Linked DNA regions of Sus scrofa. The protein of the gene in region 1 purifies or fractionates together with the protein of each later gene. This does not show direct contact. Links are inferred from orthologs where the notes say so. Each region holds a gene or a part of one and is shown on either strand. Other genes may lie near its edges.

Evidence for each region.
Region 2: the proteins of AP1S2 (region 1) and AP2B1 purify together in Homo sapiens (affinity purification with mass spectrometry; 3 studies listed by BioGRID and IntAct, counting the BioPlex papers as one, with this or other methods). This does not show direct contact. The link is inferred for Sus scrofa from reciprocal best matches to the Homo sapiens genes AP1S2 and AP2B1.
Region 3: the proteins of AP1S2 (region 1) and AP1G2 purify together in Homo sapiens (affinity purification with mass spectrometry; 3 studies listed by BioGRID and IntAct, counting the BioPlex papers as one, with this or other methods). This does not show direct contact. The link is inferred for Sus scrofa from reciprocal best matches to the Homo sapiens genes AP1S2 and AP1G2.
Region 4: the proteins of AP1S2 (region 1) and AP1M1 fractionate together in Homo sapiens (co-fractionation; 6 studies listed by BioGRID and IntAct, counting the BioPlex papers as one, with this or other methods). This does not show direct contact. The link is inferred for Sus scrofa from reciprocal best matches to the Homo sapiens genes AP1S2 and AP1M1.
Region 5: the proteins of AP1S2 (region 1) and AP1B1 purify together in Homo sapiens (affinity purification with mass spectrometry; 5 studies listed by BioGRID and IntAct, counting the BioPlex papers as one, with this or other methods). This does not show direct contact. The link is inferred for Sus scrofa from reciprocal best matches to the Homo sapiens genes AP1S2 and AP1B1.

Annotation. Positions count from the first base shown.
Region 1 is NC_010461.5:12,386,576-12,392,794, forward strand, and holds part of AP1S2 (AP-1 complex subunit sigma-2), read right to left. Parts: intron 1,629-6,219; coding exon 1,520-1,628; intron 899-1,519; coding exon 761-898; intron 1-760. UniProt on the Homo sapiens protein: Subunit of clathrin-associated adaptor protein complex 1 that plays a role in protein sorting in the late-Golgi/trans-Golgi network (TGN) and/or endosomes.
Region 2 is NC_010454.4:39,807,365-39,813,583, forward strand, and holds part of AP2B1 (AP-2 complex subunit beta), read right to left. Parts: intron 1,401-6,219; coding exon 1,246-1,400; intron 1-1,245. UniProt on the Homo sapiens protein: Component of the adaptor protein complex 2 (AP-2). Adaptor protein complexes function in protein transport via transport vesicles in different membrane traffic pathways.
Region 3 is NC_010449.5:75,541,975-75,548,123, reverse strand, and holds part of AP1G2 (AP-1 complex subunit gamma-like 2), read right to left. Parts: intron 4,782-6,149; exon of another isoform or gene 4,550-4,781; coding exon 4,451-4,549; intron 4,281-4,450; coding exon 4,225-4,280; exon of another isoform or gene 4,212-4,224; intron 4,095-4,211; coding exon 3,981-4,094; intron 3,842-3,980; coding exon 3,701-3,841; intron 3,617-3,700; coding exon 3,562-3,616; intron 3,484-3,561; coding exon 3,361-3,483; intron 1,444-3,360; coding exon 1,354-1,443; intron 1,267-1,353; coding exon 1,139-1,266; intron 897-1,138; coding exon 792-896; intron 502-791; coding exon 390-501; intron 305-389; coding exon 169-304; intron 1-168.
Region 4 is NC_010444.4:61,382,287-61,388,966, forward strand, and holds the start of AP1M1 (AP-1 complex subunit mu-1), read right to left. Parts: upstream 3,843-6,680; 5' UTR 3,690-3,842; coding exon 3,648-3,689; intron 3,533-3,647; exon of another isoform or gene 3,422-3,532; intron 1-3,421. UniProt on the Homo sapiens protein: Subunit of clathrin-associated adaptor protein complex 1 that plays a role in protein sorting in the trans-Golgi network (TGN) and endosomes.
Region 5 is NC_010456.5:46,480,502-46,486,720, forward strand, and holds part of AP1B1 (AP-1 complex subunit beta-1), read right to left. Parts: intron 5,427-6,219; coding exon 5,311-5,426; intron 5,021-5,310; coding exon 4,855-5,020; intron 3,001-4,854; coding exon 2,902-3,000; intron 2,453-2,901; coding exon 2,193-2,452; intron 1,321-2,192; coding exon 1,119-1,320; intron 310-1,118; coding exon 289-309; intron 1-288. UniProt on the Homo sapiens protein: Subunit of clathrin-associated adaptor protein complex 1 that plays a role in protein sorting in the late-Golgi/trans-Golgi network (TGN) and/or endosomes.

The DNA.
Region 1 (6,219 bases):
ACTTTCTATTTGATTAAAACCACAATTATTACTAAAGCATAATTCAACTTGGTACCTGAATTAAGGTATCATTAAGTTTTTAGGAAAAGGCCACCTAATCCATGAAACTTTTAACTTCAGAAATGGAAGATACAGAAGCATCAAATACACAATTAACCCAAGACAGCTGTGCCAATTAGAAAAGGAAGGGGGTTTAATCAATGGTTGGCAGAATATGGTTTGTTATTTAAGAGAAGTATAGAGAAGTAGAAGTACTTTTTAGTTTTGCTAACACAAAACTAGAGGATTCTACAAAAAGTGTAATTACAACACTATCATTTGCTTGGCTACATTTGCACTTAATGGACATGAGGTGAAAATATGAACCAACTTGGAATGAAAATGTCATAATCTCACAGTCAACTCCTGATTATCTATACTAATAATGAGAAAAGGGGTTATCTTAAATAATTCAGAACAATGGATAGAGAGTTCTCAAATTACTGTTACCTTTCCCATTTTAATCTGTGCTCTAAAGGTTTAGACTCTAGTGTTCTGGGGTTCAAAAATGGGCCACTATTAGGGTAGACCATCCATCCATAGATAACTGAGTTGATGTGACTGACACATATTCCAATCAATAAACTGACCACGGACAGTACATGCCAAGCATGCTTCAGGGTAATTTTGGAAATTGTAAAAATGAGGGAAGATGACTGAGACTTCCCTAGGAAGAGCAAAACATGCCAGTGTTTAGTCAAGAGAACCGTGAGTAGCTTACCTCCTGCAGTAGATCGGCCTGCTCAATTGCTTTAAGAACATTTTTCTTGGATGTTTCCTGAACTTCTCCGCCCAAAAGAAACTCATCCAAAATAAAATAAGCCTTCTCAAAATTAAAGATGATATCAAGTTCACACACCTGAAAAGCAAAAAAAAAAAAAAATATATATATATATACACACATAAACTGAAGAAAGCAATAGATACTTATCTATCAAGTAGTCAATAAAATCTGACCAAAATGAAGAAATCTTAATTCTTTCTAAAAATTGCAATCCTGCTAAGCATCACTGATTTAGTCAGCTTAATTTTCAAATCTCAAGGACTTGAAAAATACAATGCCTACAAGCTAAGAAAGACCACACTCTGAAAGCTCCTAGCAAGCTCAACTTAATAATTTTCTACTCAAACTAATCTTTTGAAATATGTATTTCTGGCTAATATGATTATAACTGCTAACCAAATCTAAATTCTATACTAAGCACTTCCAGTATATTAGTCTTTATAGTTGGACTCCTTTCTATTTCACTATTTTAAACCTCATTCTCACTAGCATAATTAAGTGAATAGGTCTGTGGGGTCAAGCAATTCTGGCAATTAACTGACTATGCACACTGACAAGAAATAGAGTTATTCCTTCCCTTTCCTGCACTTAGTTTCAAATAGAATCCCAAAGACAATCAAATAATAAACTTGTGACAGAAAAGGTTAAAAAAAATATACCATGGCGTTCAATTTCCTAAAACAAAATACTACTCACACTGCCAAAATACTTGTCAAGTAATTCCACATAACGATGAATTATTTCCAGGGTAATTAGTTCATTGTCCTGATCCTCAATAGCACAGCAAAAATACAGACTGGCATATCTGTAACAAAAAAAATTTACCATATAATCATCTTTAATAAAATATATTTTCATATCCTATTGTGAAAGACCCCAAGCTTATACAAGTTATTTCCTCTTATACAACAAATTGTTTCTCTCCTAGACTATAAAAGTAATAAATGCACAAAAGAGAAATTTTGAAAAGTACAGGCAAGCAAAAAAGAAAAAAAAAAAAATCTCACTATCTAGGAAATCAACTTATTTTTGCTCTTCTCCCATTCAGGCTCCTTTCTGTGAATATTCTAAAAAAGCTGACCCAGGTTGTTCTGAAGTTTACTTAAAACAAAATATACCAGGTGACTAATTCAAACTATAAGTAAACAAGGAAGAAGATAAACTCTTCAACTGAAGGACTTATTGAAGATATTGCCAATGTGAAGTCAATATTCTGGAACATTTTATGGAAGTGTAATATACAGACAGAGAAGACCACAAGTCATAAATGTACAGTTTGATGAGTTTTCAAAGTGAACCTACCTGTATACCAGCATCTGGATGAAGAAACAATTATTACTGAACCCCCGAAGCTTCTCATGCAGCCTCTCCAGGTCACAACCTCCCACCCCTAAGGGTAACTACTCTCTTAACTTCTAACAGCATAAAATTATTTTTCAAAGGAGGTTTATAGGATTGTGAAATAAACCTCAAGAAAAAAACAACAGTTCTAAGTAATCACAGAAATTAGAGAAAGACAACAGGGGAAATTGAGACACACCCTCAAATGTTCCACATTCCACTTTATTAAAGTTTAGGTTATTTACCCTTAAAGAAGTAATATGGTTGAAAACCCAATTCTCCAAATTAGGATTCTAGAGCATGGGAGAAGGTTATACTTGGCCTAAGGAAGCCAAAACTTACTAACACACAACTTTAAGGCATAAGGAACTATGACCTAACCAAGTCCTCTGAGGAGGATTCAGAGTATTTCAAATGGTTTAAATGTATTTAAGGCTTCTGAAAAGAAACAAAATAAAGACCTAAGACATTCTAAAGTCTCAGCTGCCACTGTAATTTTCACACTGAGGAGCATTTAAGAGAGTTTTAGAAAACACGATGGGCAATTACTACTCATAGCATTAATGTAAAATAATACACAAACACACACAGTCTCAGTTTTGAAATTCAATGAATTCCTGCTCTTCAGTATGAGAATTACTTGGATTTTCCTAATACTCTATTAATTTCAATATTATCAAAAACATTCCATCTTATTGGATCTTTCCAACAGGAAGCACCATCATCCTTGATTACGGAAGGAAAAAAAAAGACGTCACAGAGTACAGGGCCTGTTAAGTGGTTGTACTGAGACAAGAAATCTGATCTTCAGACCTAACTCCAGGCCTTTTTTCACTCTACTGTACTGAATCCCTTGTCATACACAGACTTTTTGCCATGTCCATTCTGTCCAACTGCTACGTTCACTATTTTATTTTATTTTTTTATTTTTTTGTCTTTTTGCCATTTCTTGGGCTGCTCCTGCGGCATATGGGAGGTTCCCAGGCTAGGGGTCTAATCGGAGCTGAAGCCACCAGCCTACGCCAGAGCCACAGCAACGCGGGATCCGAGCCACATCTGTGACCTACACCACAGCTCACGGCAACACCGGATCGTTAACCCACTGAGCAAGGGCAGGGATTGAACCCGCAACCTCATGGTTCCTAATCGGATTCGTTAACCACTGCGCCACGACGGGAACTCCCCACTAAGTTATTTTAAATGGTGGGTTTCCTGCAGTCTTAGAGAGAAGGCATTCAAACATGGTCATTTATCACCATAAAGGATGTAACAGGGCACCACCTCCAACTTTATTAACAAAGTGCTTCCTCTCCTTCTTAGCGCTATCCTGTTTTATCTCTTTAAAAGGCAATGGGACATTTCTGCTGCCAAGTAGGAGGGGGGAGGGAGTGGGATGGACTGGGAGTTTGGGCTTGTTAGATACAAACTACTACCTTTACAATGGATAAGCAGTGAGGTCCTACTGTACAGCACAGGGAACTATATCCAATTTCTTGGGATAGAACATGATGGAAGATAATATAAGAAAAGGAATGTATGTATGTATGACTGGGTCACTTTGCTGTATAGCAGAAATTGGAACAAAACTGTAAATCAACCATTCAACCATACTTTAATAAAAAAGATGTGCACCCCCACACCAAAAGAGGCAGATAAGGAAGTCCCCTTGTGGCACAGTGAGTTCAAGATCTGGCAGGTTGCAAAAAAAAAAAAAAAAAAAAAGAGAGAGAGAAAGATAAAAACCAGAGAGGACAATCTAACATGAACAGCGTATTAAATAATTTCATTAGAATTTACTAGCAGTTCCTGTAGTGGCTCAGCAGTAACAAACCTGACTAGTATCCAGGAGGAAATGGGTTCGATTCTTGGTCTTGCTCAGTGGGTTAAGGATCCGGTGCTGCCATGACCTGTGGTATAGGTAACAGACGTGGCTCGGATCTCGAGTTGCTGTGGCTGCGGTGTAGACCAGCAGCTACAACTCTGATTCAACCCCTAGTCTGGGAACCTCCATATGCCGCAGGTGCGGCCCTAAAAACACAAAAATAAACAACTGAAAAAAGAAATTTGTTAATAGTCAATGTTGGGTAAAATTCCTTTTACTTTTAATTTCAATTTCTTCCATGCTTTTAGGCAATCTAATGCTTTCACCATCTTTGCTCTTTATCCACAGCATTGCCTCTTTACTTCCAAATAAACAGCACTTAAACACTAGTCAAAGGTCCTAGACTGTATGAAACATTCAGAATTAATGTTTATTAATTAATGAACATATTAATTTAAATATCACCAGGACTGATTATGTCTAAGCACTGACATGATATTTTAAAAACCCTGCAACACTATCTAAATGTTTGCATTCACTCAGAATGCAAAGAGAACCATCAAATTAAATGAACTCTTCATTATAGGTGAATATCCAGTTATCAAGATTATAAGAAGGCTTCTCTTTCCAGAAAGCCTAAGAAAGAAAACAGAGGTATAGTAACAGGTAACATTCATTGGAGTCCTCACTCTGAATATAGCAATAAATGTTAGCTAAGGCCTTAGCATAATTTACCCTTTTAATCCTCACAAAACCCTCCCTTCCAGAAAGATATTGTTATTATCTGCATTTGCTGGAGACTCAGGATTAATTGAATAACCTTCCCAGGAACAGTGATTTGACTCTAGAGCCCAAGTTTTATATTAAAAACTATATAGCCCAGAACTATATTAAATAAAGTAATCCTGCACCTGGCAAAAATTAAAACACATTCAAAGCAATATTTCACATGCTCTGAAGAGGGAGAGAAATAAAAATTGTTATACTGATTTAGTAAAAGATTACCAGAAGGTGAAGTATACTATTTTTAGAACCAAGTGGTTTTTAAAAATTCAATAATGAGCTCATGTTGTTCTCTAAGTGCATATTTGTAAGTCTAAATCTGAAGTAAAATTATTAATAGACTAGTAAGAAAGGTATGTTTAGTTGTTTTTAGCAGAGTAGATTAAGGCTTACTCTAATTACTGGCACTCAGAGAACATCTGAAAGTGCCTATTCTTACATTCAAAACACATGACTTCTCCAGTTTGCTAAATATCAGCTGACTGTGGGTGAATGTAACCAAATGGTTCTCAGTATTCTCCTGGTGTGTCATTATAAATTCCTTTGTTAGTAAAGAGAATCAATGCAGTACTCTTGGACAAGTTCTTAAGCTAGTAATTTGTAGATGTGTATTTTTAAATTAATTTTAAGACTTTAATTCATAACATGCTGCACAAAACAGGAATCAAAAAAGCAGTGTTCTTTCTTCATGGGCTCTTCAAGATAATTTATTTTAGAGATGAAGAAACAAAAGCAAACTGACTTGTTCAAAGTCACTACACTAACTAATGGCACAAAGAAATAGAATTCAAGTCCCTAGATTTTCAGTCTACTTTTTCAGCTATATTAGCCTTACTCCCTCTCACCTCTCCCTCCCCAAGACAGGCAACTCTAATGAGAAAGGTTCAGGGAGAAAGAATGTGGATGTGGCAACCTGAAGGAGGCAGACATAAAGATCACTTGCTGATATGAATAGCAAAAGTGCTAGTTCAGAATTTCTCAGGGGCTAGCGGTAATTCTTATGCTTAAAAGCTCTTCTCTTCCAGCTGGACTAGGGGAAAAAACCCACTTGTTCATATCTACAAAATATATGTCCTCAAGTACCATAGATGACCTTTCTCGGTATGAAATGGGGAGATGCACAGGAGAACTGATTATAAATTCCAACTCTTGTACGTGGATTTTATTTCAGCAAAGCTGTTTTAAGTGTACCTTTATTTATAGGAGCTTGATGTAAGTATCAGAGTCAGGTTAGATGACTGCTCATAGCCTTTAAAAGAGTGGTGGTCCGACATGGTTGGGCTGAACGAACTCTGTGCACAGAACACTAATTAATGCTTTCTTTCCTTCTGTTTAACAGGCCATTTCCCTCAGCTGCAGGAATCTTGATTCGTGGGACTGATTCTCTTGCTGGTATTTTTCTCCTCCACATGGGGGACTCCTTCCCCTGTCTAGAAATAAGCTTAAGTCT
Region 2 (6,219 bases), on another chromosome or scaffold:
TTTTTTTTTTTGTCTTTTTTAGGGCCACACCTGCAGCATATGGAGGTTCCCAGGCTAGGGGTCCAACTGGAGCTACAGCTGCCAGCCTATGCCACAGCAACGCAGGATCCGAGCCACATCCGTGAGCTACACCACAGCTCAGGGCAACACTGGATCCTTAACCTGCTGAGCAAGGCCAGGGATGGAACCCGAGTCCTTATGGATGCAAGCCCAGTTCGTTAACCGATGAGCCACGATGGAACTCCGAGATACCTGAATTCTAAGCACAAGTCACTTACCATAATTTACGTGACTTTGAACACACGTCACTAAACATTCTTTTTTTTCCTTCTTTCCTTTTTTAGGGGCGCACTTGTGGCATAAGCAAGTTCCTGGGCTAGGGCTGAACTGGAGCTGCAGCTGTGGCTTATGCCAGATCCTTAACTCACTGAGTGAGACCAGGGATCAAACCCGCATCCTCACAGAGACAATGTTGGGTTCTTAACCTGCTGAATCATGACAGGAACTCTCACTAATCATTATCATTATTATTTTTTGTTTAGGGCTGCACCTGCAGCATATGGAAGTTCCCAGACTAGCTTGAATTGGAGCTGCAGCCACTGGCCTACACCACAGCCACGGCAACACTGGAGCCTTAACCCACTGAGGGAGGCCAGGGATCGAACCCACATCCCCATGGATACTAGTAGGGTTTGTCACCACTGAGCCACAACAGGAACTCCCCCAGTGTGGTATTAAAGGAAGGTTTCTGAAGTCCCCTTACAGACTGTGCCAAGTGTTTCCCCTCTTGCCTCAACTTTTCAATACACATTTAGGACATACAGTGCTGCTAAAGAAGGCTGGTGTGTCTAGGACTCCGATATCCTCAAGTCCAAAAGCAGGAACGAGCTTGAAATGAGCTAGGAAATCCATCCTCTAGCAGCTTGCTATAGCATACATACACAGATGTGCTGGATAAGACTAACCAGTACTAAGAAAGTGGCCATGTTTTGCGAGCAACTCTGTGTACACCAGGAGAGTCGGAGGCACTCTTGTTGCCAGAGGTATGGTGCCCATTGGATGGAGCAGGCAGTGCAAGCAGGAGGGTCTTCTAAGGAGGCAACTGGGGACTTCTTAACTGACTGATTGTTTTGGATATTTGGGGTCTCAAGCACCTCCACCAGGTCTTTCCAGGATGCTAAGAAAAATGAAAGGCTCTTACCTCCCTCCTTGAACCTATCTCACCCATTCTGAGAAAGGCCTCACCGTGTAATTGGGATTTCCTGGCTGGATACGTAGTTCGGCCAAAATCCAAATGCCGTTAGTAAGCTTCAGGGATTGGTACAGCATGTCTTGCCCTTCCACATTCCTCTTGGCAATAGTATAAACATTGTTGTTTTGCAACTTGCTGGAAACAGTGTCTAGAAACACAGATTCAAAGTTCAACACCTTTAGTTAAAATACCAAACAAATGTACCATGAGCCATGTGTGCCCAAGTCCTGACAAGCGTACCTTTCAGAAAGCCCTTCCCCCACAGGAGCAAAGAGTGAGGAAGAGGCTCCCAAAGTGCCTGCCTATCACATTCCAGGACAGAAAACAACACAGTGCAACCAAGCATTAGTGTAAGAATTACCTGTGGAGACGATGATGGGTCTAAGGAGGTGGTCATCTTTAGGTGCTAGACAGGCAAAAATGCACCAAAGAGAACAAAGATAGAAATGGGGGCATGGGAGTGTCACAGTGACTTCCTTGTCAGGAATCATTTCTGGAAGCTGGTCCCAGATCCATGGGGATACTGACAATCAAATCCACACCCCTCTCAAGTAGCTACTACTTCACCTGTGAGCCACTCTGGCCTCAAGTGCCAGGGTCAGGAAAATTGCAGTGTGGAAAGTTGCAGAAATCCTGCAAGTCAAATTTATTAATCTGGAGGTTTAAGTTTTTTTCTTTTTTTAAAAGTAGGCAAATGAGGAGTTCCCGTCGTGGCGCAGTGGTTAACGAATCCGACTAGGAACCATGAGGTTGCGGGTTCGGTCCCTGCCCTTGCTCAGTGGGTTAACGATCCGGTGTTGCCGTGAGCTGTGGTGTAGGTTGCAGATGGGGCTCGGATCGCGCATTGCTGTGGCTCTGGTGTAGGCCGGTGGCTACAGCTCTGATTAGACCCCTAGCCTGGGAACCTCCATATGCCGCGGGAGCGGCCCAAAGAAATAGCAAAAAGACAAAAAAAAAAAAAAAAGTAGGCAAATGATTTCTTAAGCCTGTGGCCCATACGATGCCCCAAATTAATAATGAAACAAACTGTCTCAACAAAAGACCGAAGTTGCCCAAGGATGGTTGCACCAAGGCCCTGGTAAGCCCCACTGCTGCTGCCAGTCAGAGTGGAGACCTTCATAGTCATGAACCCAGGGTAAGAACAGGTTGGTGTTCGGGGTCTTTGCTGTAATTACAGCATCAAAGAGACGTGTGAAATTCTAGTATTAAAGGTCATTTCTCTTTCCTTATTCTCTCATGCTAAAATGAGGTGCTGCAGCATCAGAGAAAGAGAACCTTTAAAAATAGAAGTGATAAACAATACTTTTTTGTCGATAGTATATTATGTTCACTTCTGGTGAGAATTCAAATTACTAAGGAACTAAATTCTTTCCACATAAAAGTCTGTCATATTTTATTGTGTTCTCTAGGGAAAGGATGCTGTGTTAGACGGTCTTTTTTGCACTCCTAGAGAGTAAGCTCTCTGAGCGCCGGGATCCTAGAGTTTTTCATTACTGTGCTTCCCACAGTATCTGGGACAGAATGGGTACCTGACTCAGGTTTTAGAGATGCTAGAATGTACACAATGCCACAGGTATTAAAACACACACACACACACACACATCTATTTACTTATTTTAATTTTATTGCAGTACAGTTGATTTACAATATTGTGTTAGTTTCAGGTGTAGAGCAAAGTGGTTCAGATCATTGTGTGTGTGTGTATGTATATGCACAAACACACATACACATTTCCAGGTTCTTTTTCCATTATACATTATTCTAAGATATTGAATATACAATTCCCTGGACTATACAGTAAATCCTTTTAATCTACTTTATAAATGGTAGTTTATATATATTAATCCCATACTCCTAATTTATCCCTTCTCCCCCTGCCCTCTCCCCTTGGTAACCATAATTTTTTTTTTTCTCTGTGTGTGAATCTAAAAACCATCTATTTAGATGTTGTCTAATTTTGGAGGTGGTTCTTGCCTTGATGCCTTCCTTCCATATTCAAACCACCGAGAGCTCAGGGGAGGAGGCACTAAAGCTCCTTCATTAAACAACTGCACCACACTCACTTGTGACTTAATTTCCCTCCTTTTATGTCTAAGGTTTTCACAAACACCAAGCAGAGTAGTTATAACTCAAGGACTGGCTCTCTTTGAGGAGCCAAAAAGTATATCTCAGGGTAGTTACATGCAAGACTGCTGGAGGACGTGGCCTGAATATGCTTTTTAATTACATTCTAGGGGGTCAGGCAGTTCTGGTTGTCACCTTGGTTCCCACAATGAAGGGCTCTCGCAGCTTAGACTGGGTTGCTAGGCAACATCACCAGCTGGAGTTTGGCTAATGCCTTCTGACAGGACTGTCTTTAACACAAGAGGGACTGCTTTAAGTTGTAAAAACCATTCCCAACTTTCAAGGCTCTTGCCCATTCCCAAGGAAACAGAAAATACACATAGTAGGAGCTTTTGGTAAAGTCCACCTTGTTGCATAGGTGCATGTTCTAGGCAATACATATGGCAAGGCCTCAAAGCCTAGACATCTCGTGATTTTACCACCTCAGTAAGAGATGACAGGCTAACAAATGGAAGCACACAAACACACATACGCACTCACCCCTTCCAGAAATAGAAAATGCAGCAAACAGCCAGGTAGCATAAGCACGTTGAATGAATGGATGTAACTTTAGTGTGCTTGGAAGCATTCTGGTTAGGAACCTGGCTCTGCTCCTGCTGAAGGGGCTGTACTGTGATTTCTAAGAGAAGGCTGAATGGAGGGAGAGTTCTATAACATGAGTATGTGTGAGTCAATTATTTTTATTATTATTATTTTTTGCTTTTTAGGGCCACACTTGTGGCACATGGAAGTTCCCAGGCTAGGGGTCGAATTGGAACTGTAGCCGCCAGCCTACACCACAGCCACAGCAACACGTGATCCCAGCAGAATCTGAGACCTACACCACAGCTCACAGCAAGGCCAGATCCTTAACCTACCGAGCAAGGTCAGGGATCGAACCTGCATCCTCATGGATACTAGTCGGATTCTTTTCCGCTGAGCCATGATGGGAACTCGTGTGTGAGTCAATTTTTATAAACCTTAGATATTAGCTGGGAGCTAGAGTGTATGTCAATGGCAGGATAATCAGACTCTACTAAATGAACCTATGAAGAATGACACTGGGAGCCAGATGTAAGGTGGCTTCCCAGCTAGATGGGATGTACTTCCTGATAAGGTATCACAGTTGTTTTCTTGCTGTTGTTGTTTTTTAAAGGATCTGAACTCCTTGGGAAACGATGGGATCTTACAGTTGTGAGACTCCGAGAACGAGAATGTAATGCTAAGATACTGCAATCTCCCCTAAAGGATAGTTTTAAAAGATGGTCAAACATAGTTACGCTGGCTTCAAGATGTGATTTCTTTTGGTTCATGTGTCTCCTACCACAAATTTGGCTTTGGGTCTGAGGCCTAAAATCTTAGAAGGTGTGATCTGGTCTTCCTTCCTTCACCTTCCAACTTTAGCTGTGGTCACACTTCTTCCAGCAGCCAGGAGGGTGAAGGTCCTCAGAGTGGGCAGGGGGAGCATTGGTACTCATTAGCAAGTTCAATACCATGATGCCCGCTGAAAAGAACACTTTTTACCACTTGAACAGCCAAACTATATTTAAATGCTGGCTGGCAAAGCATTTGCATTTATGAAATGTTCCAAAGAATGGGGAGAACCATGACCAAAAAAACCCCAGAACTTACCCTCACCTAGTCCCTGCACCAGAAGAAACATTTGTCCCTTACTAGACTGCTTAACTAGTGACTATACATACAGTATTTCTCTGAGCTTTTCACAGTATAATAAACACTTGATTTAAAAAAAAAAAAAAGGTTTGTGGACTGCCTGCCAGGAAGATTACTTTCTGGTTATGGCTAGAGATGCAACTACATCTTGTACACTTAAGACCGTGGTCCCAGATATGTGCTAACCCCAAATGCAGCTGTAACATAAGCTGTAAAACAGATTCATACAGACCACCTGAGCAGAAGAGATGAAGAGTGCTAGGAAGCCAGGAAATCCATACATTGGTGCCTTTCTGATTTAATATTTTCTAGTACTTACACAACTGGTGGCACCATAAACATCCTATCACACACCTACTAAGATCTGATTAATTATTAAGGTTAGGAAGAGGGTTTCTTTTCTTCTTTCACCTCTAGAAGAAACAGAAGAGCAAAAGTATGGAGTTCCCGTTGTGGCTCAGTGGTAACAAACCCCAACTAGTATCCACGAGGATGTGAGTTCGATCCTTGGCCTCGCTCAGTGAGTTAAGGATCTGGCGTTGCCAAGAGCTGTGGTGTAAGTTGCAGACGAGGAGGCTTGGATTTGGTGTTGTTGCAGCTGCGGCCCAGGCTGGCAGCTACAGCTCTGATTCGACCCCTTGCCTGCGAACTTCCATATGTCACAAGTGCAGCCCTAAAAATAAGGGGGAAGAAAGGTAAAAGCTCAAGGCTAGGCTGGTCAGTACTTTAAGGCTGTGACTTCCTGTGGCCCTCAGAGCATTAGCTCCATCTGTCAAATGTCTACTCTGGCTCAGAAAAGCTATTTAAAGTGTTGGTGCTATTGTGATTAGAGCAGATCAGCTGGAAAGGACAGTATTTTTAGCTCTTAGCTAGACCCAGGGTGTTGAATCAGAAGGCACTAAACCTGAAATGTTAATAGAGCCCTCAGACTGGAAGGAAATGTAAAGGCCAGGGCACTCCAGACCTTGGGGTGGAGGCAGAGGAAAAGATACAATTAATTGGAGCAAGTGGTTTTGTAAGAGATTAGCAGTGATTCAGTGTGGGAAATGATGGCCTTGGGCTCCTGGAGAAAACAAAGTGGCTGCCCTCCCCTCTGCTCCATGTGCCACACAGCCATAGAGCCGTGTATCACTGGAAAACTGATATGCTGGTATTTGGAGCACCCAAGGCAAGAAGGAACTGGCACAAGG
Region 3 (6,149 bases), on another chromosome or scaffold:
GTGTCCAGGAGGGGACTGGCATGATCCAATGGGCCCTGACACTAGGACAGGGTTGTGATGGGGGCACACCGCAGGGAAGAAGATACCTGAACCTCAGTCCTTGGCTTCAAAGGAGAAGCAGTCTTTCCACCCCTCTTCTTTAAGAAGTTGCCCCTTTGCAGAGCTTACCAGGGGGTGGGGGAGCACAAGGAAGGTCCAGGAGATTTATTAAAGTGCCTCCTGGGGTGGGATCCAGAGGGGGAGGGTGGTGGGCATCTGCAGAAGGGCCATCCAGGAGATCCAAGAGATCCAGGAGCTTCGAGGCCTGGGAGAGGGGGAGAAGGCAGAGAGTCAGGGCTGAGTAAGGAAGCTGGATCATGCTCTTCCTCCGGAGCTCCTCACCTCCTCACCTGGGGCTCTGTGGGGTTAGGGGCCGCTTCTTCTTCTTCGCTTTCCTTTGCTTTCTCATCGACCTGAGGGCCACCTCGCTCCATAAGAGGCATCTTTTCCAGGATGGCAGCCCTGGGAGGATGGAAGGGAGGTATAACCCTCTGGGCAGGCCCTGGGCTTTTCACACAGGAGGTGTGGGAGGAGGGTAAGAACGTGGAGAGTCCTGGGCTTAGGGTGGGTCAGAAGTGCCCCTCTGATTTCCTAAGAAGGCATGCTGCTGCTGTCTGAACAAGGAGGGTGGGAAGCCTGCTTGGCTTCGATGAACTGTGGGTGGGAGGCTCTGACTGGATGAGACCTTTGTGCCCAGAAAGGGACAATGGCCAAGGGGGGTGGGTCCCGCACTGCGGCTGGGTGGTGCGCACCTCATGTGGTCGTACTTCCGGAAGAGAGTGTTGTATTCCACCGCACGCTGCTGCAGCTCCACGTCCATGCAGCTCCCGTAGATGGACACCACCTGGCGGATGCGGCTGGGCCGCGTGGCGGTGTGCAAGTGGGAATGGCGCTCTGCCCCTGCCCCTCACCTCCAGGATGCGGCAGGGAAGGAAGAGGCTCCATGGAGCAGGGAGAGACCCACACTACTTGGCTCAAAAGAAAATACCTAAGGATTGCGGGGAAGTGGGGGGGGTGAGGGCCTGGAGAGAAACCAGAAACTGGGGGTGGGGGCACCGTGGAGAAAGGCTCTAGGAGAGCGGCTGGGCCCCAGTCTCACTTGTTGTCCCCACGGAGCCGGGTGCTGAGCTTCATGAGGGCTGTCAGGGCATATCCTCGGGTAGCTGGCAGGGACATGTGAGACTGCAGCACCCTTTCCAGCAATGCCAACACCTCCTCTTCCTCCACCTTTTGGAGGGACACAGGGAGTGACCCTGGGTTCAGCCCTGCCTCCCCTGACCCATCCCTCCAGTTTACCCCCAGTGCAGGACCCACCTGCAGGGGCTCAGCTTCCTCACAGCTCCCCTCCAGCAGGAGGTCCCCGTATTCCCCAATGCACCAGGCTGCCACCTGCACCAGCGGTTGCTGCATGGGGTAAGAAACGTGCTGGGCCAGCGTCTGGGTCCCCTCCTCACTTCCAGACCCTGTGACATCCCTTTAGGTAGTGCAGAGATGGTGGAGTTTAGAGGAGAGGGGAAAAGGGAAGGCCTTCAGCACAGGGAGCTGTTACAGAGCGGGTTTTGTTAATTTCTTGACGCCTCTGTCCTGGCTCCTGGGCTTCCTCTGCCCTCTGGTGGCCAAGTATCAGAACTACATGGCCCAGGATGGACCTAGAGATTATCATACTAAGTGAAGTCAAAGACAAATATTAAATAATATCACTTATATGTGGAATCTAAAAAATAATACAAATGAATCTATACACAAAACAAAAACAGATGCACAGGCACAGAAAACAAACTTATGGTTACCAAAGGGAAAAGGAAGGGGGGTGGGATAAATTAGGAGTTTGGGGATTAACAGACACACTACTATATATAAAAGGGAGAAACAGGAGTTCCCGTTGTGGTGCAGTGGTTAACGAATCTGACTGGGAACCATGAGGTTACGGGTTCGGTCCCTGCCCTTGCTCAGTGGGTTAACGATCTGGTGTTGCCGTGAGCTGTGGTGTAGGTTGCAGACGCGGCTCGGATCCCGCGTTGCTGTGGCCCTGGTGTAGGCCGGTGGCTACAGCTCTGATTGGACCCTTAGCCTGGGAACCTCCATGTGCCGTGGGAGCGGCCCAAGAAATAGCAAAAAGGAAAAAAAAAAAAAAGAGAAACAAGGACCTACTATATGTAAAGCTCAGGGAACTGTATGAAATATCTTTTTTCCTTTTTAGGGCTGCACCTGCAGCATATGGAAGTTCCCAGGTTAGAGATCGAATTGGAGCTGCAGCTGCTGGTCTACACCACAGCCAGGGCAACACCAGATCCAAGCCATGTCTGCAACTTACACCGCAGCTTATGGCAACGGTGGATCTTCAACCCACTGAGCAAGGCCAGGGATCAAACCCACATGTTCATGGACACTATGCGGAGTTCTTAAACTGCTGAGCCACAATGGGAACTCCCACATTCAATATATTGTAATAATCTATAATGGTAAAGAATCTGAAGAAAAAAAGATATATAACTAAATCACTTTGATGGACACCTGAAACTAACACAATATAAATCAGCCTTATTTCAACTTTAAAAAATATCCTAGAATAGGGAATTCCTGTTGTGGCTCTGCAGGTTAAGAACTCGACATAGTGTCTGTAAGGATGTAGGTTCAGTCCCTGGCCTTGTTCAGTGGGTTAAGGATCTGGTATTCCCACAAGCTGCAGTGTAAGTCACAGATGTGGCTCAGATATGGTGTTGTCATGCTGTGGTATAGACAGCAGCTTCAACTCCAATTCAACCCCTAGCCTGGGAACTTCCATAGGCCACAGGTACCACCTTAACAACAACAACAAAAAACTACATGGCTTAACCACAAGGGGTGCAGCGATGATGAGGAAGTGAGGGAGTTATCCCTTGAGGGAGAGATGGGTGGTTTCCTACCCTACTTAAGTAATCTGGAAAAGGGGGCTACAGTATAGACACTGGCTGGCATCTGTGAATTCACTCAGTATTCAAGGTAATAACAAAACCTAATGCATGTAGGAAGTGTTTTTATCTATCTCACTTGACCAAGACCACTCTGGCAGGTAGGCTCAGTAGGATGCTGAGGACACCTAGCATGAAGTTAAGTGAGTCGTCTGTGGTTGCACAGACAGTAGTATCAGAACCAGGACAGGAGTCCAGGTGTTCTAACTAAAAACAGGGATCTGCCCTTGAGTGTCTCTTCTGCTAAGCAGAGAGCTGTGACCTTGAAGGAAAAACAATTAGGAATCAGGTGTAGGAAGCAAGTGGCCCAGGAAAGGCTGGGGGATGCGGTGAGGGGTGGGCAGCCCTGGGCCTAGTGGTGGAGCAGTACCTGAGAGATGTCCTTGGCCAGTGCGCTGTAGAGGCGGCGCACAGAGTAGGCGTGGAGCTCCTGGGCACCCCCAATCAGCTGGGTCAGGTTGGCTACCGCATCATCACGCACATAGGCGCCTGCCTGGAGGGGTGAACGTGACCGAGTCAGCGTGGTAACCCCCGCCTGCTCCCGCCCAGCTCAGCCCAGCCCCTGCCTCACCGTTGTCAGTACATGCAGGATGGTGTCTATGTGCCACCGCTTGGATGGGGCAAACCTAGGGGACATGTGGCTCTTCAGTCCTGGTGCTGAGCCACCATGGATTCCACCCTCTCTGTCTCCTGGGCACCCATCCGCTCACCTCTCAGCCGCCAGCAGGATGCCTGAGGCACAGGTGGCCCGCAGATCAGGGGGGCAGGACTCCAGAAAGCCCTGCAGCTCCTGGGTCATGGCTCGCACATTGGAGCTGTTCACCAGAGCCAGGCTCAGTTCCAGGGCCCGCCTGGCAGGAGGAGTGTGTGTTTATACAAGGCAGCCTAGGTCACCCCATGACATGCCACAGGCCCCCTTCCCCAGTCCCCTTTCTCCAGCTGCTCTGAGCTGGTCTGGATCTTGGGCAATGGGACCTCTGTCCTGCTCACCGGCTGAGGGAAGCATCGGGGTCCCGCAGACAGTCCACCACGGTGGGCCGGTGCCGCTGCACAGCGCTGTGGTCAGACTGCACCAGCCGCAGCAGGGACATCAGCGCTACGTACCTGTCAGAGCGGGCGAGGCCCTATCACACCCTGGCCATCAGGCCCCTCCCCATCCCATCCTGCCCTGGGTCTAAGAATCTGGAGGAAGGAGGGCAGAGGGCCAAGGGCACAGCCCACCTGGGCCTGTTACCTAATGTTCCTGTCACTGTTGAGCAGGAAGCGGCCAAGAATGTTGACAGCTAGAACCTATGGGAGGCAGAGGTTGGGGACAGTCAGGGAAGGAGCAACCTGCTCACTCAGGAGTAGGGAGTGCATGGCACAGGGTGACAGGGATGAGGAGAGACTAGGGAACAGGACGGTCAGCCTGGTGGGGGTGAGGGGAGAGGGGCCGAGGGGGAGAGGTGGGGGGATGGTACCCGCAGGCCTGCTGCTGAGCGAATGTCCAGGATGGTGAGGACCGTCTCAAAGAGGACTGCGCTGCCCGCATTTCGGCTGGTGTTCGTGTTTGTGGCTACCTGTGTGGATGGGAGCGAAGAGGCAGCTCTAAGGGGTCTGTCCTCTCCTCAGGTCTCTGGATATCATCCCTTAATCCTCTAACAAAGTTCCCCAAAAGACAGGATTAAGAGGTGGAGTAAAGAGTTCCCATCTTAGCACAGCAGAGGAAATGAATCCGACTAGGGTTGCAGGTTCAATCCTTGGCCTCGCTCAGTGGGTTAAGGGTCCGGCGTTGCCGTGAGGTGTGGTGTAGGTCACAGACGTGGCTCAGATCTGGTGTTGCTGTGGCTCTGGCATAGGCCGGCAGCAATAGCTCTGATAGACCCATAGTCTGGGAACCTCCATCTGCCATGGGTGCAGCCCTAAAAAGACAAAAGACAACAACAAAAAGATGGTGGAGTAGAAGGACTGGAGCTTACCTTCTCTCATAAAAACAAAACTACAACCAACTGCTGAACAACCTTCAACCAAATGGACGATGGCAAACTTTCAAAAAAGATATCCTACTCCAGAAGACAAAGAGGAGGCCACATCAAGATGATAAGAGGGGTAATTACTCAATATAAGCAACCCCATATCCACCAGGTGGGCAGCTCACAGACTGGAAAGTAACTGGATCACAGAGACTCACCTACGGGAGTGAGAGTTTTTTGTTTTGTTTTGTTTTGTTTTCCTTTTTAGGGCCATACCCATGGCATGTGGAGGTTCCCAGGCTAGGGGTCCAACTGGAGCTACAGCTGCTGGACTATGCCATAGCCACAGCACCATCAGATCTGAGCCACATCTGCGACCTACACCACAGCTCACAAAAATGCCAGATCCTTAACCCACTGAGTGAGGCCAGGGATTGAACCCGCAACCTCATGGTTCCTAGTCAAGATTCATTTCTGCTGTGCCATGACAGGAATTCCTGGGAGTGAGAATTCTGAGCATCAAGTCAGGTCCCCATGACTGGGGATCTGGCATTGGGAAAAGGAGCCCCTGGAGCATCTGGCTAGTGGAGCTTGTGAGCAGGGGCTCTACGGGACTGGGGGAAACAGAGACCTCATTCTTGAAAGATGCAGACAGGCTTTCATGTACACTGGGTCCCAGGCAAAGCAGGGACTCCATAGGAATCTGGGTCAGACCTGACTGTAGTTCTTGGAGGATCTCCTGGGAAAATGGGGTGACTGTGGCTCGTTGTTGGGGAAGGACATTGGAGGCAAGGTTCTCTGGAATATTCATCAGCATGTGTTCCTCTAGAGGTGGCCATTTTGGGAAAATATGGTCCCACATCAGCTGAGAAGCCCCAGGCCAAACAATAATCCAGTTGGGATCACAGCCCCACCTATCAGTAAGAAGCTGCCTAAAGACCTCCCCCAGGCAAATGCCATTTCTAATCTCACCCAGAGGGTGAGATTCTAACCCCACCCACCAGAGGGATAAGAATAAGCTCCACCTACCAGTTGGCAGGCATCAGTTCCTCCCATCAGGAAGCCTACAGCAAGCCCCCATACTAACTGGGAGGCAGGGTTGTGGGGGCGGGGGGGGGGGGGGGGGGGAGGGGGGGGAGAATGACATCAGAAGCAAGAGAGGCTACAACTCTATTGTCTGCAAAAAGGAGACCACACCCAAAACCAA
Region 4 (6,680 bases), on another chromosome or scaffold:
CTTCATGCGTATGACCTTCAAACTGAGGCTTGAGGGGACAGGGGACAGGTGCGATAGAGGCAGAGGGACCAGTGTGGTTGAAGCCTTGGGGCGGGGAGTGCAGCCCATGGGAAACCTAGGAGTGTGGTTAGGTGGAGTGAGAGTAGCCTTGGAGCTGGGGCTGCAGGCCCCGGATAAGAGGACAAAGGCAGGAGCCAGGACAGATTGGAAGATGGCAAGCAACACTGAGGTGACAACCCTTACCCCCTGCTGCTGAGCCTGACTCCACAATTCCTTCCTCACAATGAGTGAGGGGGCCTTCTTAGAAGTCGAAGGTCAGATCAGATCTCTCCCCTGTTGAAAGTGCCATCTACCCCAGCCTCCCTTCAAACAGAACAAGCCACAAGTCCATCTCTATGGCTGTCTGGCTCTTCACAGCCCCTCCAACGCCTCTCCATCCATGTTCCCTGGGCTCACCCCTTTCCAGCATCCCTGGCCAGCACTCTTGCTCTCTCTGAGCAATGTGCATCTGCTCCTGCTTCAGGGCTTCTGCACTTGCAGTTCCCTCTGTCCAGAATGCTCTGCCCTAGACCTTCTCAGTTCTTAAGCCTCAGCTCAGAGGGCACCTCCTCTGAGAAGTCTTCCCTGCGTACCCTGGCTGAGATCATATCCTATCCCTTTCTACTCCCAACCCCACTTTATCATCACTGCCCACATCACCATTGCATTATATATTCATATCCTTATTTATCATCTGTTGCTTCTACTAAAGTCTAACACTCTTTGAGAACAGACCACTTTACGGCTGTGTCTCAGCACCCACAACAGAGCCTGGCCCTTAGGAGCTTCTCAGTAAATGTCTGTGCAAGTGAATGTGGTGGTGACAAAAAGGAGGCCAGGATAATGCCCAGGTCTCCCACCTGGGCAGCTGCATGGATGGTAACGTCACCCACTCAGAGAGAGCAGGGTGGGGTGTGAAGATGAGCTCGTTTTGGGAAATGCTGAGTTTGCAGTGCCTGTGAGACCTTCAAGGTGTCCTGGAGACTGGTGGGTCTCCAGTTCAGTGCTCTGGACTGGTGTACAAATTTGAGAGTTATTGGCACAGTGACATAAATCAAAGCCTGCCCCCAAGGAGAGTGACAGCATGGGAGGCACGCTAGGCCTGAACCTGAGGAGCTGGCCTCTGGTGGTGGTGGGGGGGGGGTGCAGCACACATTCAGAGAAAGAGGGGAAAACAGAGAGCCAATGGAAGCCTTCTGAGGAGGAGCGTGGCAGGTGGTGATGGAAGTTGCAGAGAAGTGAGAAAGATAAGGGGCAGAGAAATGTCCGTGGAGGGTTTTCTATCTGCTGAAAGTGGTCACGCTGGTTTCCTTGGTGATCAGAGGCTCTGGCTGTCAGGTAGACGAGTGGTTGTGAATGTATTGATGTGCCATTATCTTATTTTTGATTTAATGGAGTCTGCGCAGAAGGCCAACATTCAAAACATGAGGTCCGTGGGGCAGGGTGAGGGGGTGGGGGGCGGAGGATAATAAATAGCATGATGGTTACTCAGGACAGGAGGCTGCCTCTGGAGCTTCCTGAAAGGCATGTCTGATTATGCTTCTCCCAGGCTATGGTCTCCTCATGGTGGCTTTTCCTTCTTGAGATAAAATAGTCCCTTCTGTCCTGCCCTCCTGTTTGGACATCCTCAATACCCATGGCCTTCTTGATGCCATCTCCGAGGCTCCAGCACCAACTAGGACTTCTGGCTTGCCAGGCCCAATAGGCTGCCACTCACCCCTTGGGCCCACTGTGACACCTCCTTGTCCACCTGACTACCACCTGGTCACCTTCCCAGCTCTGGCCTCTCCTTCCTCCAGGAAGCCTTTCGTAACCACTTCTGCTGCCAGCCAAAACTAAGGTTGGGCAACTTCATTACCTGGGGCTTTGTCCTTGCCCTTGTTGCTAAGTACATCTGCCTATTTAGATCCATGTCTCTGTTTGGGTCTGTCAGCTTTCATGCACCTCCCCTGCCAGAGCTCGAGGTCCATGGGGACTAACATGGACTGTGGACCATGGGTGGTGCTGAGCTTGTCTTGAGCTCAGGGAGTTCACACACTTGCCCGAGGTCACGTAGCTGAGCAGCAGAGACAGGTTTTGAGCTCAGCCCTAACTCCTCAGGTCAACCCTGGACTTGGTGCATGTGAGGTGCTCATGAAATGTTTGCTGAAGAAACAAGTGATGTGAGCAGGCAGTCTGCGGCACTGCTGCGGACACGGTGACCATGGCAGAAACAAGAACATGTGCTACCAAGACACAGGGAACACTGCACCCTCCCAGTCCCTGGTGTGCCCTGTGCCCTCTAAGAAGGCTGGGGAAGGAAGCCTGGCCCAGGGCCTGTTGACTTTGGGTGGCCTCCAAGGCAGGCAACCCACTCAAGGGGCTCTGGGAAAGTGCTGGGGGTGGGGACTGGGGTGGCAAGGGACAGTCACTTTACCTCTTCACTCCCTACTGCTTCTGCGCTACTCCTGTTCCCTCCGCCTAGGCCTGGCACCCACTAACTCATCCATGAGGGGCCTGTTTTAATGTTGTTAGTCCTGTCTTTTCTTATTATTCCCCAATGAAAGAGGCCAGTTGCCTTCTAGAAGGAATGGACTTGGGGGGAAGACAGTAGGCCTCCTCTGAAAGCTTTGCAATCCCTCCTTTAAGAACTTTTCCCTGAAACCCCTGGGAAAAGCACCGAGGTTCTAGTTATGTCCAATTCCTCCATCATGTCTCAGCTGGGTTTGTCACTCCCCCTGGGAAGCCCTCCCTGACCCCCAGCGGAGGTGGACTTTCCTATTACATCCTCACTGCTCCACAACTTATATTTATTTGTGCTTTTTGAGATCAGTGTCCCTCTCGCCCATCAGATTGTGAGCTCCAGAAGGACAGGGACAGACTCTGATTTTGCTCTCCAAAGGCAACCCAAAGGTTAGCACCCTGCCCAGCACTTCGTAGATATTCCCCAAATACCAGCTGAATGAACAAATGATTCTGGGTTCCACTCCCAGACCTGCCACTTCTCTGTGACTGACCAGTGTGACCTTAGGCAGGTTGCATTTCCTCTCTGTGCCTCAGTTTCTCCCTCTGTAAAACAGCATTCCCACCACCCACCTCACCTAACCCTTATAACTCAATGTTACAATGAATGTTAAGAAACCCCTACAAGGACTGCTACAGAAAAGTCGCTGGATAAACAGAAGCTTCCGAGCTCTCGGAGAGCGGGACTGGCCTGAGGGCACAGTGTCCCCGCCACGCCTCACCACCTCCGGTCAAGGGTCGCCCAGCCCCGCGGCGTCAGGCCTGGCTTACATGCCGGCAGCGGCCCGCGCTCCTAGCGGCCTCGGGTTCCCCGGGACCCCCACGGAGGCCGGAGCTCATTGCCCACAGAGGTGAGGATGGGGGTCGTGCACGCGTTTACCTTGCAACGGCCGCAGCCCACCGCGTTACCTAGCAACAAGGCAGGACTCACAGACAGAAGACACCTTCTCGGTTACCTACCAACAGGGTAGAGCCCTCAGGTGAGGCCAAAGCTTCAAAGACCAGGGAGGCTCCCATTGGCCGGCTACCTAGCAACAGGGTGGGTCCCCAGGGGCGAGGCCCCGGCCAGTTGCCTGGCAACACCGAGGGTGGGGAGCCATCAGTACCTTGCCCTTCAGGTCCAGCACGTAGACGGCACTGGCGGACATGGCGGCTGCAAAAACCCTCGGCACTGGCCGAAGGCGGCGGCGACAGCGGTGACTGCCAGGCGGTGAGCCAGGCCGGGCGCACCCGAGACAGTTCCTCTCCACTTCCGGCCCGGGGAGTAGCGCGCGGACCGTTAGGTCTGGCCGTGGACGCGCTGCCAAAGCGCAGGCGCAAGGCGCCATGTGCGCAGGCGCAATATTCCCGATAAGGCCTTATTTTCCGCTCCTCCCTCAAGTATCCCGGAAGTAAGCTCTTAGGGGAGGGGCGGGGAGGGGCGGGGAGGGGCGGGGCCAAGCCGGGCGGACGGCGGAAGAGCAACTCTCTAGCTGCCTGGTTGGACGGCGAATGGCAGCTGGGAAAACTCATGTCGCTGGAAAATCCCACTTGGTGGGCCAAACTAGGTGAGAGATCCTGGTGGTGGAACCCACCGAGGGCCCAGCCATGTGGAACTCATAGTTTGGTGGGGAAGGCTGGGGAACAAATACATAGACACCAATTGTGATACACTTTATAAGGAGGGATAAGGTGGTGGTTACTTGGAAAGAACTCAAACTCTCTGAATGGCAATCGAGCCTCATCAACAGTAAGTTCCTGTCACCTGTCAGTGCTAACATTTGGTAAACAAGCGTGCAGTTTATTGCCTGAAATGATCTGAAAACCACGCCTCACTGAACCTAGGCAAAAAGGTGATTTATTTCTGTAGGTAGTGGTCACTGTGAGTAATGCAAATTGTGACTCCTGATTCATCTAATTGAATTATACCTTGTTTGCTTTTATGAATACTCGGCCTTTGGAGAAATGCTGCATTCTGTCCCAGTGAACCATCACAATGCCCTGGGCCCCAGGCCCTGCACTATCAGAACCATTTACCCCGGCTGCCTGCCTCTTACTTTTATCTTCCTTACTGCCTCCATTTTGGGTTTTGAGAGTTAGTTTTTGCAACTTTGTGGTTATATACCTTCTACTTAAGGTAGAGATGTAAGTGCAAGAAAATCCAGAGAAGAAAACTAGAACCTTTAAAGATTACCAGTGAATCCTGGGCATAAAGCAGCTGAGAAGCTTTTTGACACCGTCTCTTAAGCAATCTGATTATACCTAGCCTCACTCTGCCCAAATTATGTTTTTAGGAAAAAAGTGTCTTTTTTTTTCTTAAATTACAAAACTGTACATTGCACTGAAGAAATCAGGAAATGCCAAAAAGTATAAAGAAATCCACATGGGAGCGGTAACCCCTCTCATTATGGAGGATTTCCTTTCAGACTTGCTCTGGGCATTTTATTATTTTTTTCTCTCTGTGAGATGTAAATGTTCTACAATGGCTCTCAGGAGCACTTACCTTATCTAGACCATCTTTATTTTAGCTCCTGAGACTGAAGGAAAAAAAAGGAAGAGGGGGGAAGGAGAAGGGCTTTTCCACTCAAGTGGAAACACTGACATCTCTGGTTCTGCTTTATGTAAAAATTAACTTGTAAATGAGTTCTCTTTAACTGACTTAAAAGTAAGCGACGCTGATATTTGGCCTCTGTGCACCAAGGCAGAAGTGAATCTCAGAGACAGAGTTTTGGGTGAAATAGAAAAGAATAGCTTTTGGGAGTTCCCTTGTGGCACAACATGTTAAGGATCTGGCATTGTCACTGCTGTGGCTTGGGTTTGATCCCTGGCCTGGGAACTTCCACATGCCAAGGGCATGGCCAAAAAGTAAATAAAAATTCTTCCCCCCCCCCCCAAAAAAAAAAAGAAAAAAGAAAAAGAATAGCTCTATTGCTTTGCCAGGCAAAGGGGACCACAGTGGACTAATGCCCTCAAAAAACTATGTCCCTGCTCTGGGCATTTTAGATACAGTATAATGCAGTATCAAGGCAAGGATGGAGCTGGGAGGACAAGTCTTTCGAGGAAACAAAAACTCCAACATGCCAATACTGTCACAATAAACACGCAACACAAAAATTACTTGTAACTTCCTTTTCAGTGCATGTGGAGGAATTTGAATCACATCTGAATTTCATCCTTTGTATTTAATGTATAAGCCAGATTTGTCCTGTGCAACATCTCAGAAAAGACCATATTTACTGTGGTAGACAGTGCTTCTCAAACTTTGCTGTGCAGTGGGGTCACTTGGGGAGCTCTGAAAAATCTCCGTGATGGAACCCCAACCCCAGGCAGCCCCAGTAATTAATGCACCCCAGGAGAGTCCAACGTACATATTTTGAGGACCATTGTGGTAGACTGAAACAGTGATGGCCCTCAGTAAACCGTCTCCTGCTGTTCGTGCTCTTGTGCAGTTCCCTCCCAGAGTGGGTTTGGCAATGTGACTTGTGTTAGCCAATGGAATAGGTTACTTCAGTGAAGGGAGATTCTAGAGGACCTTCTGGCCCCAGGCAAGTCAGCATAGCTCACACATGAACTGAACTATACTACGTGGGGTAGAACCATCCAGCTGAGCATGGTCAACCCAAGAATCCTGAGAGACTAATCCTATTGTTTTAAGTCACCCCATTTTGAGGTGGGTGAATAGGCAGTTGGAAACACATGTCACCTCTTCTCCAAATTGAAGGTGAACAGTCACTTTGCAGTATGTATACTTTGTGATAGTCCAAAAGGCAGCATTTCTAGTGATAATCAAACAGCTTGTAATTAAGATACTCAGACATCTATTTAATAACTGTTTTTTTGCTTTATTCTGCATTTCACATATGACAGTCCCAAACCCAACACTGTATTTTTCTCTGGGACTTTGTTAATGCTTTCAGCATCTATGTCAACACACTTCTCCCCGAGAACATTTGCAGGTTAATCCTCTTTTGATGGGTACATGTAGGCTCTCAAAGATCCTGGCTCTCCAGCACAGGAAACTAGGTCCTCTCAATTGCCCCATGTCTGTCTGTGCTGGGGCTCTGCCTTGCTCCCATCACCCCTGAGGTGTCCTTAGGCCAGGAATGCCAAACATGTTATGTACCAACTCTGAATAAATACAGGGGGGCTGCTTGGAGCCC
Region 5 (6,219 bases), on another chromosome or scaffold:
GCACGGCCTCTAGGATGTGAGAGATGGCTGGGGGGACAGAGAGCTGACGAGCCTCCCAATGACAAGGCAACTTCGTTGTAGGGCGGTGAGGACAGGGCAAGGAATGAATGTGGGAGCCCACTGGCAGAGAGATGCCAGGCAGTCAAAGCTGAGGCTGCCAGGACATTGGACAGAGGCCAGGGCTAGTAGGGAGGGTTTGCTTTGACATCAATTAACCCCTGGGATGCCAGGTGGGCGATCTAGGAGGAGCAGGGACAAATACTTGGTGACACAAAGGTCAAACCGTACCCCTTCAGGCTCATCCCCCATCTCCAAGCAGAAGCAGGCAGGGTGATGAGAACAGGCAGCCACATGCAGAGAGAAAAGCCAGGAAAGAAGACACAGAGAGACAAGAGAGGGAAAGAGGGAAAAGATTAGTCACTACTGCTCCACCCAAAAGGGCCTAAGGCAAGGCTGTGCCGGGCCTGGAGGGGCCCAGACTGTCTCTAAAAGGGCACTAATCCTGGGGCTCACCCGACCCTTGTCCTGTGCCAGAGCACCCCCTACCCTTTCTTGTGCTGCAGCCTTGGGTACCAGAGCCAGGCATGGCCAAGTGACAAGGGCCCTACTGCCCCCTCCACCTGGCTCTATCAGCTGCCTAAAGAAGTCCCAGGGAGACATCTAGGCCAGTCCTCCCACCTCCTTTCACAGGAGAGGAGGGACTGTCCCTGGCCTCTCATGGGCTTCTCCCTGGCCTGCTAGGCTGCTATTCCCAGTCGAGGGTGTGGGATAAGTGGACATAGGCATGGCTCCTGCAGGCTTACAAGGCCAAGGTGCCTGTGCGACCACTCTGGAGAAGGGGCTAGGACAGGCCCTACACAGCTGCGGGTCTCTTGGGATTCAGCAGCCCAGCAAGGGACTAAATTCTGTGCCTGGCACTTAGCAGCTGTGTACTCTTGAAAGGAAGGTCACCTGACCTCTTTAAGCCTCAGTTTCTCACGCATTTGTAGGGAGCTATGTGACCACCGTTGCTGGCAAACTGTACCTGAAGCCCTTGATTGGAATCTAGCAGAGGGTGTTCAATGATCGCTCCTCTGAGATCAATTATTAACATCACACAGAGGGGCCCCAGGACGTACCAGGCTGTCGAGGCCGCCGCCAAGAAGGTCCACAGCTCCCATTTGCACCGAGGAGGTGGCCAGTGGGGGGCCACTCACCGGAGGGCCGAGGTCCAGGTTGAGGAGGTCGCCCAGCAAGTCACCCTGGGTGGGGATGACATCCAGCTGCTCTCCAGGGGGTGCCCCAGCAGGGGCCGTCTCAGGACTCTCCGTGCTCTCACTCCTGCCAGGACATGGAGGAGAGGTTCAGCAGAGTGGGGGGTCAGGCTATCTCAGGGAGGCCAGAGTCCCCACTCTCTAAGATCCACCCCCAGTCTATATGGCCTTCTTCCTCCCTCTTCCCACGTCTCATCCATCTTTTTGGCTCTCAAGAGATCCAACTTCACAAGCTGAATGAAGGGAGGGCCATCTGCATTCCCACCACTCAGCCCACTCTAAACAGAAGACCAGGAGTTCCCGTCATGGCGCGGTGGAAATGAATCCGACTAGGAACCATGAGGTTGTGGGTTCAACCCCTGGCCTCACTCAGTGGGCTAAGGATTCAGTGTTGCCATGAGCTGTGGTGGAGGTCACAGATGCGGTTCGGATCCTGCGTTGCTATGGCTGTGGTTTAGGCCAGCAGCTACAGCTCCGATTGGACCCCTAGCCTGGGAACTTCCATATGCTGTGGGTGCGGCCCTAAAATGACAAAAGACAAAATAAATAAATAGATAGATAGATAAATAAATAAATAAACAGAAGACTAGATGCTGGTCCCCAGAGAACTGGACAACCAGACCAATAAGCCACTGGAAACGGCAGAGGAGGAAGACAAGAAGAATGGGGCTCTGGAGTCAGACTGAATCGGGTCTGAGCCCAGCTATGCTGCCTGGGATGCTGCACCAGGCACTCAAGCTCTCTATGCCTGTTGTCCCTGTCTGTGAAGTGGGGACATCTCTCAGAGCTGCTGTCACCCAGTCAACACCTGGTGTACAGTAAGCATTCGATAGAACGTCACTAGAACTAACTTTCCTCAGACTCAGGCCTGAGTGCCTGTGCTAGAACTGAGGAGGCAGGTGGGAAGGTTGAGGCTGGCGACTGGCCCACTTCACTCACGAGGCGGTGCGGGGTGGCAGGCTCTTGTGCACGACGCCCCGGCCCCCCTCCACAAAGGCGCTGGGTGGCTTGTGGTAGACAGAGGCCAGTGTGCCGATGTAGCAGATAAGCTCGTCCAGCAGCGTAGGTTCAATGAGGTCTGTCTCTTCTGAGATGAGTGGCTTCTCAGCCAGCACCACCTCCTTGGCAGCTACAGGGTCCGTGGAGAGGAGGCGCCAGTAGATGTAGCCTCGGTCGCGCAGGTCCGGGTTGTCCGAGTCCTGGGAGATGATGAGGAGCCCATGAATCTCACAGCAACCAGGTGAGGGGAAGGTGGGGGAGCCTCTCCCATAGTCCCATGACACAGTGTGATGAGCACAGGGCTGCTCATGACAGACCTGAGAGCCCCTGGGGCCTGTCCCTAAACCACCTGAACAGACCTGGCCCAGCCCACTGGTTTCCACGCTGGCCTGGCTGCGAGTAGGCCACCCCACCCGTTTCCACTCCCCACCCTCTCCAGGGCCTGCCCGTCTGGCTTATGGACTTCCGCCTCCTGTTATGGTCTGGCCCATGTGCTCCCGCCACACCTTGATTTGTCTGTGACTGAGCTCCCTGAGCAGGGATCCTGGATTGCTCTGGAGCCAAACCCCAGGTCTTTTAGGGGCAAGACCACCCAGGTCTGGCTTCTTGGACTAAAGCTCCCTCTGTGGAGCAAGGGCTGTGCACCCACCTGAGTGGCCAAGCTGAGGACCTGCTGCACTAGCTCCTGGGTCTCTGTCGGCTTCTTTAGAAAGAGTTTCACGATGGCTGTCAGCAGCTGCAGCTGGACCTGCAGGATGACAGAGAGGAGTCGAGGAAGAAGCAGTGTGACTGGGGATAGCAGGAAACCAGATAAGGACCCCAAAGAGGGGAAAAGGTATTCAAAGGCTGAGAATGGCTTTCCTGGGTTTGGGGTTGGCTATGCAAACAGGCCAAGGCCAGCAGGGGGTGCTAGTAGTGCAGAGTAGCCTTGACCTTGGCATCATGGCTCAGGAAGGAGCTGGCCATGGCACTATCTGGCAGCCTCAGGCAGGAGGGGGGCTGCCACCCAGCTCTAGGGTCCCAGAAACCCTCCCAGGCTCCAGGCCCACAGTGCCTTTAGGAGCTCAGAGAGGCAACATGTGTGCCTGGTATGCTTATTAAAGATCATCTGTCACCAAAGGGAGAGGGTGCCAGAGAAGCCCAGCGGACTGGATCAGCAGGGCCCACAGAGCCAGTGTGTCACTGAGGAACGCTCTCAGGGAGCGGGAACCATTCCTGCCCAGCCCTCCATCAGCCCATGTCACCCAATGCTGCCTTTGCCTGAATATGCCTCCCAGGCCCCCACACTGGTGCTACCCCGCAGTATTACAAAGACTTTCCAGCCCCTGGGCTGTTCTGTAGAGAGAACCCTTGAAGGCAGGAATGGCATCTGCCACTGCTCATCCCTGGTTACTGTTCATTCTAGTGCCTGGTGCATAACAGGCACTTAAAAACCTGCTGACCTCTGAAAGGTCAATTCTCTGCACAGAGCCCTTAGCCCCATCTCACTTTTGTCAGCCCTGGGACAAGAGGACAGCCTGAACCTCCTGAGCCTCAACCGTGCCAGGGACAGCCTGCAGCAGAAAGGTGGGAAAGGGGCTAGCAGCACCTCCTAGGCCTGTGGTGCAGGAGGGCACTTACAACAAAAACAAATGGCTTAACTGCCTTGCTAGGCAGGGCAGGCTGCCAGTGGTATGTGGGATTGAACAGATGCAGTTGGTTTCTCAGACTAAGTATCTAGAGTCCTTGTAATTTGGTGACACATGGGCAAAGGGCAGAGGAGCAGGTGGCTGCTTCCAGGATGGGAGGTGGCTCAGTGACTGGCTTCTAGACCTGGTTCAAGCACCCCTGGCCAGGTAGCCTAGCGAAAACCATCTATTCTCAGGTGGTGAAGGAGAGGAATCTCTGCTTCAGGGGGGATTCTTGTGAGTTTTTCCTCTTTTTTTTGGCTGCCCTGCAGCATATAGAGCTCTCGGGCCAGGGATCAGATCTGAGTCGCTGCTGCAACTTAAGCTGCAGCTGTGGCAATGCCAGATCCTTAACCCACTGTGCCAGGCCAGGGATTGAACCTATGTTCCAGAGCTCCCAATACACCACCAATTCCTCTGCACCACAGGGGGAACTCCTCTTGTGAGCCTAGAAGACAGCAGCTAATGGCTGCCTACTGGGAGCCAGAGTTCAATCACATCTCATTTGAATTCTGACTCAGCATATGGAGGTGCCTAGGCTAAGGTTGCATCAGAGCTATAGCTGCTGGCCTATGCCACACCCACAGCAACGCCAGATCCGAGCTGCATCTGCAACCTACACCACAGCTCACGGCAACGTCGAATCCTTTAACCCACTGAGCGAGGACAGGGATTGAACCTGCAACCTCATGGTTTCTAGTCAGATTCGTTTCCACTGAGCCACGATGGGAACTCCCAAAATTGAAACCAAACCAGAAACTTTGTGTGTCTTTAACATAAACCATCATAGACTGTCCTCACAGGTCCCCCTTAGGTATTCCAGTGCGGGAGGCAAACGGCTACACTTGGCACCCACACGTCACCTCACTGCCTGTCCACATGGTCAGTGCAGTGTTAGGAGGGCACTTCCCCAAGTCGGCTACTCGACCTCTCACCTGGGTGCTCTCATCATGGAAGCCTTCCAAGAAGCTTTCCAGCAGCTCGTCCGCGTTGTCTATCCGCTCGGCGTACTCGCCCACAATCCAGATCATGGCCGCCCGGGCCTCGGGCTCGTCAAGAGAGTCCAAGTTCTCGCACAGTGTGGCGATCACACTCTCGTACCTAGAGACCAGGGCGCGGCTGGCACATAAGCACTGAGAGAGCCTGGGCTGCCCAAGGGAGACCCAGGAAGGGGCAAGAGAGACAGACCCCAGAGGTCCCAAGAGTGTGGTAAAAGGATTTGAGTTTTCTCTGTTACATTTTAGTTCTCATCTGGCAGCTCAGGAGAAGTAAGAAAAGATAAAGGGTTTCTTTTGAGAACGCTGTTCTCAGCAGAGGGGAGAGGCTCCTCCTGGCTTTTCCTCCCACCACCCCTGTTCCCAGCACCCTCACAGGGAGAGGCAGCCACGTACTTGTTGGGGTACTTGCGGAAGATGTCCTTGATGACCACGATGGCTTCCTGGACCACATAGTTGACCTTGGTCTGGATGAGATCGAGCAGCGTGCTCACACAGCGCTCAGCAGATTGCTATGTGGGAAGAGGAGAGTGTGGGTAAGGCCTGCACCCATCTCCAACAGAGCCTCTGACCAGCATGCCTTGGTCAAGGGCTCAGTCACACTTTGCCCACCTTCCTTTTCACAGCAGGAAAACAGAACACTCTCCGCAGGTAACAGGTGGGAGACTGAGTACAAAATGATGGTTCTGGGATGGCAGGGACACAGGGAGAGAGAATTAGACTGAGGAGAAGGCCAGGAGAGTGTCTGGGAGCAGGGAAGGCCTTTGGAGCTCTTCCAGGCTAAGCCCTGAGGTAGTGTGACAATACTACAGTCTGACCACATCTCACTTCTATTTGTTCCACAAAAGGGTTTCCTGTGACCAAAAACACTTAGGAAGTCTCTGCTTGGATCAGCCCTCCCCACACCCCCTGCTCCAAAACACTATGCTAATGCATGCTCTAGAGGAGAGATTTCTCAGATTGCCAAAGGGAAAACGTTTCAAGGGGCTGAAGTGACCAGCTGTCCCAGATCCTCTAGCTCTCAGTGAACTCATTTAAGGAGAGTAAGATCTGGAGTTTCCGTCGTGGCGCAGTGGTTAACGAATCCGACTAGGAACCATGAGGTTGAGGGTTCGATCCCTGGCCTTGCTCAGTGGGTTAAGGGTCCGGTGTTGCTGTGAGCTGTGGTGTAGGTCGCAGACACGGCTCGGATCCCGAGTTGCTATGGCTCTGGTGTAGGCCGGCAGCTACAGCTCCAATTCGACCCTTAGCCTGGGAACCTCCATATGCCATGGGAGCAGCCCTAGATAAGGCAAACAAACAAAC